3 linked regions of the Neurospora crassa OR74A genome follow. The protein of the gene in region 1 interacts with the protein of each later gene in a pairwise test. Links are inferred from orthologs where the notes say so. Each region holds a gene or a part of one and is shown in the gene's direction. Other genes may lie near its edges.

Evidence for each region.
Region 2: the proteins of NCU04150 (region 1) and NCU00337 interact in binary tests that used the Saccharomyces cerevisiae proteins (3 or more experiments, as listed by UniProt). The link is inferred for Neurospora crassa OR74A from reciprocal best matches to the Saccharomyces cerevisiae genes MAK16 and NOC3.
Region 3: the proteins of NCU04150 (region 1) and NCU00404 interact in binary tests that used the Saccharomyces cerevisiae proteins (3 or more experiments, as listed by UniProt). The link is inferred for Neurospora crassa OR74A from reciprocal best matches to the Saccharomyces cerevisiae genes MAK16 and RPF1.

The regions. Positions count from the first base shown.
Region 1 is NC_026505.1:5,007,512-5,010,772, forward strand, and holds NCU04150 (66S preribosome component MAK16), read left to right. Parts: upstream 1-1,306; 5' UTR 1,307-1,453; coding exon 1,454-1,487; intron 1,488-1,557; coding exon 1,558-1,724; intron 1,725-1,802; coding exon 1,803-2,576; 3' UTR 2,577-2,760; downstream 2,761-3,261. Other genes in the region: NCU04149 (mitochondrial GTPase), read right to left, coding at 1-645, 710-1,015.
Region 2 is NC_026503.1:3,495,410-3,499,696, forward strand, and holds NCU00337 (nuclear export protein Noc3), read left to right. Parts: upstream 1-1,400; 5' UTR 1,401-1,565; coding exon 1,566-3,596; 3' UTR 3,597-3,726; downstream 3,727-4,287. Other genes in the region: NCU00336 (U3 small nucleolar RNA-associated protein 10), read right to left, coding at 1-834. UniProt on the Saccharomyces cerevisiae protein: Required for synthesis of 60S ribosomal subunits and the transport of pre-ribosomes from the nucleoplasm to the cytoplasm. Also required for initiation of DNA replication.
Region 3 is NC_026503.1:3,739,751-3,743,685, reverse strand, and holds NCU00404 (RNA processing factor 1), read left to right. Parts: upstream 1-1,301; 5' UTR 1,302-1,439; coding exon 1,440-2,160; intron 2,161-2,232; coding exon 2,233-2,408; intron 2,409-2,488; coding exon 2,489-2,750; intron 2,751-2,820; coding exon 2,821-2,945; 3' UTR 2,946-3,315; downstream 3,316-3,935. Other genes in the region: NCU00405 (glycyl-tRNA synthetase 1), read right to left, coding at 1-635. UniProt on the Saccharomyces cerevisiae protein: Essential protein. Required for biogenesis of the 60S ribosomal subunit.

The DNA.
Region 1 (3,261 bases):
AAGCAGGGCGATGCGGATGCCGTTGCGAAGCAATTCACTCCGCTGGCTGCCCAGCTCGTGCAGCTTGATGGAATGCAAAATCTCTTTGACGAGACGGGTCACGTTCCTCAGCAGCTCGGTAGGCGACTCGTCAAAGTGCTGGTCTTCGCTAAAGTCGATCAGGGCTTCGATCTCGCCCCGGGCCAGGAGTAGCTGCTCACGCCAGGACTCGTACGTCTTGCCCAACACTCCCGAGGTGCCGCGGATGGCGGCCCGCCGCTGCTGCTCGGTTTCCGCGGAGAGAGTGTCGCCGAGCGCTTCGACTTGGGCGAGGTCTAGTCGGTTGTTGAGGAAGGCACGCTTGGTGAACTCGCCTTGCTCGGCGTAGCGGATGGTACTCGATGAAGTGGACTTGGGAATGGCGGAGAGAACGGCCTTGACGGTGGCTGGGCCGCCGTGCACGTGCAGCTCGAGGACGTCCTCGCCTGTGACGGTTTTGGGACCGGGGAAGTACAGGACCAGAGCGTCGGTGTCGAGGACGTTGTTGGCGTTAGCTGCTGATGGTGATGAGACATCGTTGCCGGGTTCGGTGGGCTCGGTCAGGGTGCGCACGGCGGCGTATCTGGGTTTGGGGATGAGTTTGGTGGGACATAGTGAGTTGTAGACCTTTGCTTGGTGTTAGTCATGTCAGGAGCGAGTGAGAATGTTTGGCGTGGGAGGGGTTGTTTACATCAAGACATCCGGGTCCAGAAATACGGATTACGGCTATGCCAGCTCTTCCTGACCCTGATGAAAGGGCATAGATGGTGTCGTTGGTGAGAAAGGGCAGAGTCGAGTCTCTAGGATTCCCACCTTGACCCTTACTCCCAGAGACGGCGTCAAAGGCAGACGCCCTACGGCCAAACTCATGATAGCTTCTTGCTATGCGGATAAGACATGATGTTGGCTGCTGCTGCCATGATCGTAGTGCACAAGAAGTGACTCGAGAGCCTCCCGGTCGGTGGATAGCAGCTCGTCTTATCGCATGGCGGAACATTGACCTCAACCAAAAGACATGAATTCACACAAGTGATGTCTTCAGCGGAGAGATGTCACTGAGAAAGAGATGCCCTGCCGTGGTGAACCTTCCGTCGATGGCAGCTTGAATAAACAGCCCCCCCTGCAACAAGAGCGAGTGCCAAGACCTTTGAGCAGCCACTCTCAAGGTATCGCTGTAAGATGATTGGCTGTAGCCCCAAAGCTGCTGGGATGTCTAGCGATTGCACGGACCACATCGACTGCATCAAAAGTTCAGAAAGATCCATTTCTAAATTTTTATCGGGCAACCGCAGCCACGCCCGTGTCTTCTCCATCTCCTCGTACACACGACCTGCTCCTGCGCCCTTCTTCGAGAAGCTGACCCTTCTTTTTCACCACAACGCCAATTCGAAGATACCCCGACAATTAGAAGGCGGCCAGATCAACCACAGTCAACATGTCTGACGAAATCGTCTGGCAGATCATCAACCGTATGTCGCAGTCTCTCGAAAGTTAAAAGGCCTGCCTGCCCCGCAGTGTCGCTAACCTTCGACCCTACAGAGCAGTTCTGTGCTTTCAAACTCAAGACAACCAAGGGCAACAACTTTTGCAGAAATGAGTACAACGTCAGCGGCTTCTGCAACAGGCAGAGCTGCCCCCTAGCCAACAGCCGTTATGCGACCGTCAGAACCTCGCCCAAGGGCACAATATACCTTTACATCAAGACCGTGCGTATCCGCTCCTTGTGGCAAACCTACCAGATCCCCGGGACCAACTAGCTGACACACCCTTCCCCTTTCTTACAGATTGAGAGAGCCCACATGCCCTCCAAATGGTGGGAAAAGATCAAGTTGTCGCAAAACTACGCCGAAGCCCTCCAGCAAATAGAGGATCGCCTTCAATACTTCCCCAAATTCCTCCTCCACAAGTGCAAGCAGCGCCTCACCCGTCTCGTACAAGTCGCGACCCGCATGCGCAAACTCGCCGCCGAGGAAGACCGTCTCGGCGAGAAGCTGGTGCCCAAGATGGCGCCCAAGGTCAAGCACCGCGAAGAGGCCAGAGAGCGCAAGGCCCTCATTGCCGCCAAGCTGGAGAGGACGATCGAGAGAGAGCTGCTGGAACGTCTCAGGCAAGGAATGTACGGCGACCAGCCCCTCAACTGCTCCGAGTCTGTCTGGAAGAAGGTGCTGCAGGGTCTTGAGAAGGAGGGTGAGGGTACCCGCGACAAGGATCTGGATGAGGGCATCGAGGACGAGGATGAGGAGGACGAGGAGGAGGAAGAGCTCGAGGAGGAGATCGAGGACGGCAATGTCGAGTACGTGTCCGACTTCGAAGAGACCGACGACGAGCTCAATGATATCGAGGATTGGCTCGGCAGCGATGACGAGGACGATGCGGAGGACGACGATGACGAGGATGATGATGACGACGATGAGGGCGACAGCGAGGAGGATACCAAGAAGAAGACAAAGGCTGGCGACAAGAGGAAGAGAGGAAAGGTCACCAAGATGAAGGCACGGAAAAAGAAGGAGATCGAGGTGGAGCACGAGACGGACAGGGAGAAGTTGCTTGCTTTCTAAAAGAGGGACGTGGGAGATTTGTTATCGTGGTTGTTGTTGTTGTTGTTGTTGATGTACTAGATGATGATACCTTGGCATCTGGCAGATTGGTCACCGGTCTTGACATTCTGTCATGTAATGATTGCATGGCTCGTAGAACAAGAGCTCTTTTCATGTTTAACTCTGTTCAATCTGGAGAACTAACCTACTTTGCGGTTCCTGTGATATGTGAGGAGCAAAAGTGCATCCATGCATTACCTCTACCCCGGTCACAGGCTCGCCATGCGGCCCTGTAAAGTCAAGGTTGGTATGTGATTTATAGGTGGGGCAGTGGCTCTTCAGGCCAGGAGGTAACGGTCGCGCAGTGATGAAACGCCCCTTGGAACCCACGCCGCCTTTCGCATCTCTCCTGGCGATCAATCCATCAATTTACCTTCCACGTTCAAAGAAGGCCACGAAAACAAGAAAAGAACTTTGGGAACTTTTGGTTTCCTTCCTATATCGCGGGACACCAATAAACCCTCAATTCCCAACCAAACAACACAACGCCTGTGCCTGACCGACACACCGCGGCTAATTGCAAAAATACCCTTACCCGCAACAACCACCTCAAGGAAGCTTCCCACCGCCCGATCTCGCGATCCGATCAAGGGGTGCTTGCTGGTCGTAGCACCTCGTCACCGACAGAACCAAACCTACCTCACTC
Region 2 (4,287 bases), on another chromosome or scaffold:
GGCAGCCAGAATCGTCACAACCATGTAGCTGGCAATCTGGAGACCGGGAGAGCTCTTCATGACCATGGCATCGCTGAGGACCGGGCCAAGCTGCTGCATGAGAGCGTTGTCGTTCTCGATCTGGATGCTTCTCCTGCCGGAACGGTACTTGTCGAGCAGACCGTTGGTGGCTTCAACCATGACACCACCCCAGAAGGAGATGAGGCCAGGGTATTCCATCTGGTACTTGCAAGAGTCAAGAGTGTACTGGGAGATGGCGGTAAGCAGCTCGGGGCGGTTCGTCGCTTGCTGAACAATGGCGGCGCGAGGGGGCGCGGTCAGAGAGCGGATGTAGGGGTCGAGGAAGCGGTACTCCTTGGGGATGTTGGCGGGCAGGATGGACAACAAGGTCACAAAGGCCGGGATGGTATGGTATGGGAGGAAGGTCGCGATGAGAGCAGCCGTGTTGAACTCATGAACGCGGAACCGGCGGATCAACCACTCGATGGCCTTGATGGTGGGCATGAGACGCAACCTGCTGCCGCACAGGTGGAGGAAGGCCTCGACATGCTTATCGAGGGCGGCATTCTCAGCGGCGCTCATCTGTGTCCTGTCGGCCTCCTGGCTTTGTGGGCTCCATAGCGACTGGGTGAACTTGGTGAAGCGCGAATCAAGGTTGCACAGCTCCTCAAAGCCTTCGAGGCATATCGAGTAGATCTCGGGGTATGTCTGGGTAGCGGCAACGCGGGGCTCGAAGATCAGGGACTTGGAGTGGGCGGCCTTGAGGACCTTGGTGTTGAGGGTCGACCGCGAGTTGGCAGCGATCTGGGCCAACTGGGAGGCCAAAGACGACATGGTTGGGTGTTGGTTTCTACGATTCGGCTTTATGGTTATCGTATGGTACTATCGTCAAGGAGAGTCGACGTCGATATTTCGATCGCGTCGCAAAGTGGGAATTCGATCGGCCTTTCGGCGCGTGGTGGGAGACGGGGAAGAGTGCAGTCTCGATTGTGTATCGTGGGGTAGAGACTGGGATTACGGGAGGTTGGATGTGTGTACAGTGGTCGAGAAAGAGATTAGGTGCCGCGGTCTCTCTTTGCTGCGACGAGGTTGATGTTTTCGGAGAGTGCCCCGTCGGTGGGTTCCTATTTGGATGGATGGAAGGAAAGGGAATTCAAACTTGGAGGAGGAGGTGCGGCCACTCGAAGCTCCAGCGCAAGCAACTGAACTCGACCGCAAAACTCAAAGTGCAGTCAATCGATGGCCGTTCATGGTTCAGCAACTTTTTTTTCCCCAAGCGGTGGGGTCCGATAAGAAAGCTAAACCAACCACATCCCGCCGATAAGACCCCCAGCTTTGGCAGCCAGGGTCCAAAAAGTTTGGAAAATGTTCCTGAGCGGTTCCTCATCTCAGTGAAGAACAAACAATCGATACCCATCCATCTCCACTCCAGAACACCGCTCGCTCCCGTCTCACTTCAGTCTGTCTTCAGCACACATCGATCAGCCGCCCACACTCAGTGTTTCAGGTTCACTTCACATCATCTCACAACCCTCCAACTGCACAGACCATCACCAGCCACCACCATGTCTTCCCATCCTTCCAAGCGGAGGAAGCTGACCGAGGGAGGCCAGTCCTCGGACGGCGCAGCAACCAGCGACGTCAAAATTCAAAAGCAGTTCTTCAAGAGTGCACAGAGCTGGAACCTCGAGGAGGACTATGAGAACCGCCCCAGGAAAGGAAAGAAGAAGAAGGAGAAGAAGGTCGCCGATGCCACGAAACTGCCCATCAGAGTTGCCGAGGGAACCTGGGTGACGCAGGAAGAGGAAGACGCCGAGATTGCGAGCGATGCCGAGTGGTTGGAGAGTGAAGGGGAGGAGGCCCCTGAGGAGGAGGAGGCTCAGCCCGAGCCAGAAGCACCCAAGATTCCCGAGCGTGAACAGATCAGGAGAGCCCAGGAGGAAATGGCCAAGATCGCAACGCAGCTCAATGAAGACCCAGAGGAGCATCCGGGTGCTTTCAAGGCGCTCGCCAAGATTGGAGAGTCGGACCTTCTCGCCATCAAGAAGCTCGCCATTGTTGTCCAGATGACCGTCTACAAGGATGTCATTCCCGGCTACAGGATAAGACCGGCTTCGGAGGATGTTGCCAAAGAGAAGCTGTCCAAGGATGTCAAGCGGCTACGCGTCTATGAACAGGCCATGGTGACCGGCTACTACCAATACATCAAGACCCTTGCTGCCCTCGCCGGTGGATCGATTCGCGACAAGTCCAAGCAGCCCATTTCCAGCATCGCCCTTACCTGCGCCTGCACCCTTTTGAACGCAGTACCGCACTTCAACTTCCGCGGTGAGCTTCTCAAGATTCTCATCAAGAAGCTGAGCTACAGAAATATCGATAAAGACTTTATCAAGTGCCGGACCGCTCTCGAGACCCTGTTTCACGAGGATGAGGATGGTCAACCCGCCATGGAGGCCATTTCAGTACTCACAAAGATGATGAAGGCTCGTAACTACCAGGTTGACGAGAGCATCCTGAACCTGTTCCTCCACCTGCGTTTGCTTAGCGAGTTTTCCGGAAAAGCTTCCAGAGACACGGTGGAGAAGCAGGACGATGGGTCGGTCAAGAAGCCGAAGCAGAAGAAGGAGTTCCGCACCAAGCGTGAGCGCAAGCTTCTTAAGGAGCAGAAGGAGGCTGAAAAGGTCATGGCCCACGCCGACGCAGCTGTGAGCTACGAGGAGCGAGAGCGGATGCAGTCCGAAACGCTCAAGATGGTTTTCGCCTCGTACTTCCGCATCCTCAAGATGCGTATTCCCAACCTCATGGGTGCCTGTCTTGAAGGTCTCGCCAGATACTCCCACCTGATTAACCAGGACTTTTTTGGTGATCTCCTTGAGGCCCTAAAAGACCTGATCCGCTACAGTGAAAAGGACGCCAACAAGGAGGACGAGTCGGACGACGAGAACAAGGAAGAGGAAGAGGATGAAGACGACGAGCACGAATTCGTTCGTGACACCAGCCGCGAAGCCCTCCTCTGCACCGTCACCGCCTTTGCTCTTCTCGAGGGCCAAGACGCCCATAACGCCCGCTCGGACCTTCACCTCGATCTCTCCTTCTTCATCACCCACCTCTTCCAGTCCCTCCTCTCTCTCTCCGTTAACCCGGATCTTGAACTCGGCGCCCAGTCGCTCCAGCTCCAAAACAGCGTGCGCCGCAACAACCGCATCAATTTGCAGACCACCACCGTCCTGCTCGTCAAGTGTCTCAGCGGCATCCTCTTGCCGCCCTGGAACATCCGCTCCGTGGCGCCGCTCCGTCTGGCCGCCTTCACGAAGCAGCTCATGTCCGGATCGCTCCAGGTGCCGGAGAAGTCAGCCCAGGCGCTTCTCGGCTTGCTCGCCGACGTGCTCCACACGCACGGCAGGAAGATCAGCTCGCTCTGGAATACGGAGGAGAGGAAGGGCGACGGCACTTATAAGCCACTTGCGGCGACAGTGGAGGGTAGCAACCCATTCGCGTCGACGGTGTGGGAGGGCGAGCTGTTGAGGAGACATTACTGCCCCAAGGTGAGGGAGAGTGTGAAGGAACTGGAGAAGAGCATCAAAAGTATCAAATAGCTGGTGAAAGGGTGATGTCGGAAGGGATTGTCTTGTTATGTCTACGAGACTCTAGGTGTAGGTTGTTGGAGAGTATACACGTTAGCTTTGGCATAGAATTATTATTGTTGAAACGATTCTGGATATCTACGAGTTTATGGCTGTGAAAGTGATTTCAATGGCGGCTGGCAGACACAAAGCCACCACCATACCAACGGGTACTTTTGTCGACCAAACCCATCATGATCACAGTGGAATGTGGTATTACTTCAGTTTCTTTGGAGATCTAAAAGCAGGCGGTCGCATTTGTTATGTGATAACACTTGGAGAATGAGCCTCCTCCACTGCACCTTCCCAAGACATTTCCAACTTTCAGTTGGCCATCAGCTGTTTTCCCTCCTCGACCTCCATTCAGCCGACCATCCTGACCTTTGCATCATTTTTCTTTTCTTTTCATCTTTTCTATTTTCTGCTCTAGCTCTGTCTCACCGAGTCGGGTCAGACTTGCCGAACCATGGCGGCTGTACATTAAACCGAGGCATGTCCGTAGCTTCCCCTCAGCCTCATGCGAGTTTAATTGGTGAGGTGAAAAATCTTTTGCTGTCTGATGACGATCGTCATATCGATTCATGGAGTGTCTTTCTCATTTCCCTTGTTGGTGTAAGCGTGCGGCTCTCATGTTCCACAACAGCCTTATTTGTGAAACATTGTT
Region 3 (3,935 bases), on another chromosome or scaffold:
TTCTTCTTGCGCTTAGGGTCCTCCTCCTTGTCCTCTACCTTCTGGCCGCGAGCCTCCTTGTCGCCCTTGAGGCGGGCCTCGAGAACGTCCTCGACGAAGTGGTCGGCGCGCAGAATGTCGCCGTTCTTGGGGTCCTTGCACATCCAGTCGGCGAACTTGTCGACGTGGCCGGAGGTCTTGAGAACATCGTGGGGGGTCAGGGCGGTGCAGTCAACCTCGAGCATGTCCTCCTCGAGGACAAAGTGCTTGCGCCAGATGTCGATGATGTTGGCCTGGAGGGCACAACCGGGCGGGCCATAGTCGTAGAGGCCAGCAACACCGCCGTAGATATCGAAGGAGGGCGCAAAGAACATGCGGCGGCGCAGCATGGACTCGAGAGCGCCCTTGTCGAGGGGCTGGCCCTTGAGGGTGGTGGCCGTCGAGGTCATCTTGGTGTTTTGTTTTTTGACGTAGACTTGGAAGCGATGGTGCGAGGTAGAGAGGGAGAAGGATCGGAGCGAAGTCGAAGAGATCCGCGGGATGGGCGCCGGGGTCCAAGAAGTTCGACTGGCGACGGCTCGGGTGGATAAGGTCGATTTGAATGCTTGACCAGCAACAGGAGAACGGAGGGAGGCGAGACGGGCAAGAGGTCGCATGAATTGGTCTTGTTACAGTGCTCAAGGGAACCAAGTGAGTCACGGTCGCCCACTGAGGTTTCGTCGAGGCCTTTTCAATTGAAACACGTACTTCAACCGAATCGCGGGATGATTTTTTTCTTTGGGGGGGTAGAGGGGCGCCATGGAGGGGCCGGCACCAACGACCCAGACAACCTAAGCCAAGGGACAGCGGTCCAGATTCCCGCTCTCGAGCCGCCGTCAGTGGCGGCGCGGTACGCGACAGAAGGCTCGACTCGCTGGAATCCACCAGCCATATCAGGAAGTGGAACTGCACATGCTACTGTACACTACCTCTACCTACCTAAGTAACTCCCTTACAGAAAGCGCATTCCGCTGGCTAGCGTTATTGTGACTTTTCATCGGCTAGAGGTATTGATATTTGATTATCAAGAGTCCGTGATGCCGCCGTTCTTCATCCCAAAAATTCTGCTTCCGTCCCAACTTACAGCAAGGGACGGGATGGAGTCATCCTGTGCAGGTGACAGTCAGGTAGTAGTGTACACTGAGGGGTAGCGGTACGTACCTGTCCCCGGCTGAGGCCGTGCGTTAGCTGTTGGGGTACCCTTGTAGATGCACGTCTTGGCGCCCTTGATGGCTCTGGGCCCAGAAAAAAAGTTGAAAGTTTACCGGGCCCGTTCAATTCATCCGTCAGGTAGAGGTAGCAACAACTGCCCAGCATCACGTCGAAGTTTGAACTGTGACCTGGAGAATTGATCCTACCCTACAATTTTGACACCGCGACAACCACTAATCCCACCGCCGTGTTACCACATCGTAGCCGATATGCCGTCCGGTAACAAGGGCAAAAACCGCTCCGGCGGATCGCTGTCGCTCAAGACCTCCAACAAGATTGTCAGAAAGCAATTATACGTCAAGCAAAAGAAGGAGCAGGGAAAGGAACGCCATGAGGAGCGTCACCGCCGGAGGAAGGAGGAGGCCAAGGATCCCAAACTCAGAGAAGAGCGCCTCGCAAACAACCAACCCTTGACCATTGAGAGGAAACGCGTGTGGGATGACGTTGACGACGACAGCCTGGGCGTCGCTGTGGATGTTGCCGAGCTCAAGAGGAGGCGCTTGGAGAAGGAGGAGGCCGAGGCCGCCAGGCTAGCCGATGGAGTCACGGAGGAGGATGAGGAGAAGGACGACGATGCCGATTCTATGTTGGACTCGGACGAGGAGGGTGACGACGACGACGAAGATGCCGAGGAGCGCATCGAGAGACTCAGACAGGAGCGTGCGCAGAGGAAACCCAGCATCGCTCCCTCGACCACGTCGACAAATCTAGACATGACTCCCGACTCGCTCACACGACAATTTCCCAATCTCTTCAACGAGGAACCCCCAGTCGACCCCAAGATTCTGGTCACCACCCATTTGAACGGCACCATTCACAAGGAGGCGGAGGACATTGCTGCCATCTTTCCCAACAGCACGTACATCAGACGCAGTGCGCACGCGTATGGACACAAGTATAGTGTTCGCGAGATCGCAAAGTTTGCCAAGAGTGAGTAGCGCACCCAGGTTGGAGTTTTGTTGCCCAAGAGAAAATTGCTAACACAGGCCTGAATTGTTACAGACCGTGGATACACGATTCTCATGATTGTCGGCGAAGATCTCAAGAAGCCTAGCTCCCTGACCGTCATCCATCTCAACGGCGAAGATGTTGCCCCTGGTCCTTCGTTGACATACACCATCCGGAACTACCTGCCTGGAAAGGCTCTCCTTGGCCACGGTAACCCTACAAACCACTACGTAAGCCGTCCATCCTAATCCCCAAGTCCATTAATTACAGGACATTGAGACTAAGCATTGCAACCAAAAAAAAAATACAGCCCGAGCTTCTCCTCAATGGATTCAAGACCCCTCTCGGTATCCTCGCCGCTAAATCCATGCACACCATGTTCCCTCCCAGGCCCGAGCTTTCGGGTCGCCAGGTCGTGACATTGCACAACCAGCGTGATTACATCTTCTTTCGCCGCCACCGCTACGTCTTCCGCGAGGCCCGCACGACGGAGAAGAACGTGGTTACTGCGGAGGGCAAGGAGATGGAGGGTATGCAGGGTATCCGTGCTGGTTTGCAGGAGATTGGACCCAGTAAGTCTTGCTACCGCGGAAAACAAAAGTTTTGGCGAATGAACCGAAAGTGGCTGACTTGTTTTGATAGGATTCACTCTCAAGCTTCGTAGAGTGGATAAGGGTATCGGTCGGGCTGGCAGCGAAGGAGAGGATGCTTTGAAGTGGGAGTGGAAGGCCAAGATGGAGAAGGTTCGCACGCGCTTCAACCTCTAAGGGGGCTGATCATGATAGTAGTATTGGTGATACCCTTCTTTCAGTATGCCATCGTCTCTGTTGGCACTGGAGAGTATTTGTCTTGTTCAAAGTGTGTATGTGGCGTTATCGGTTCACAAAAGGGTTTGGGAGGAAGGCATGATTCATCAACATCAGGTCACTATGACTGTACTTCAAGACTACCTATTTTCTGTGCATGTACCGCCGGTTTCCTCTCCCTTTCTACGATTTATGACCAGCCTTCTTGGCTTCCTCCTTGAGCATAGCCACTGGATATCTAACCCAGCAACGAAATCTCAGCCATTCTGCTCAGTATCATCGGCAAGAGAAGCTGGAGATGCCGCCGAGTTGCGGTGATAGTGGGCGATCCAGATGGTGTAGAGGGACGAGCCGAGGATGCCGAGAAGTGAGAAGAGGATGCCCTAGAGGGTTATGATTTCGACTTGCTTTTGGGTTTGATCTGTTGCTGAACCAGGTACGGTTTTGGTTGAAAGAGGTAAAAGATAGGATATCATAATGACTGACTATCCACACCCCGCACACGACAAGCTGGGACCAAAGCCAACATGGCTCTCTCGGGTAAGACGGAGTGGTAGAGAACGTGATTCGTCACGCCACGATTGGCGTGAGCAAGATCCAAGCGATTTGGTAGAAGGTTACAGAATTAAAAGCTATTAGCCAATGAGGAAGGATCACATCGAGGGACATGGCCACGCTGAGGGGAGTGTCTCGGGGAGAGATGGAGCGAGGACAAAGAGCGAGAGGGGAGGTCGCGAGAGGAGGAAGACGGTCAGGTAGGTGGTGAGGAAGTGGAAGGTTGCGAAGGAGAGCTGGGTTAATTGGAAGGATGGGGTGGAGAAATGGACTGAATTGTGAAGACCTGGGTTGGTTCGGTTGTTCGTAAGGAACTGTTGGGAGAGGAGAGCAGGGAAAGATGAACAATCAGTATTGAGACTACGATATTGACCGCCATTCAAATGAAGGCGGGTG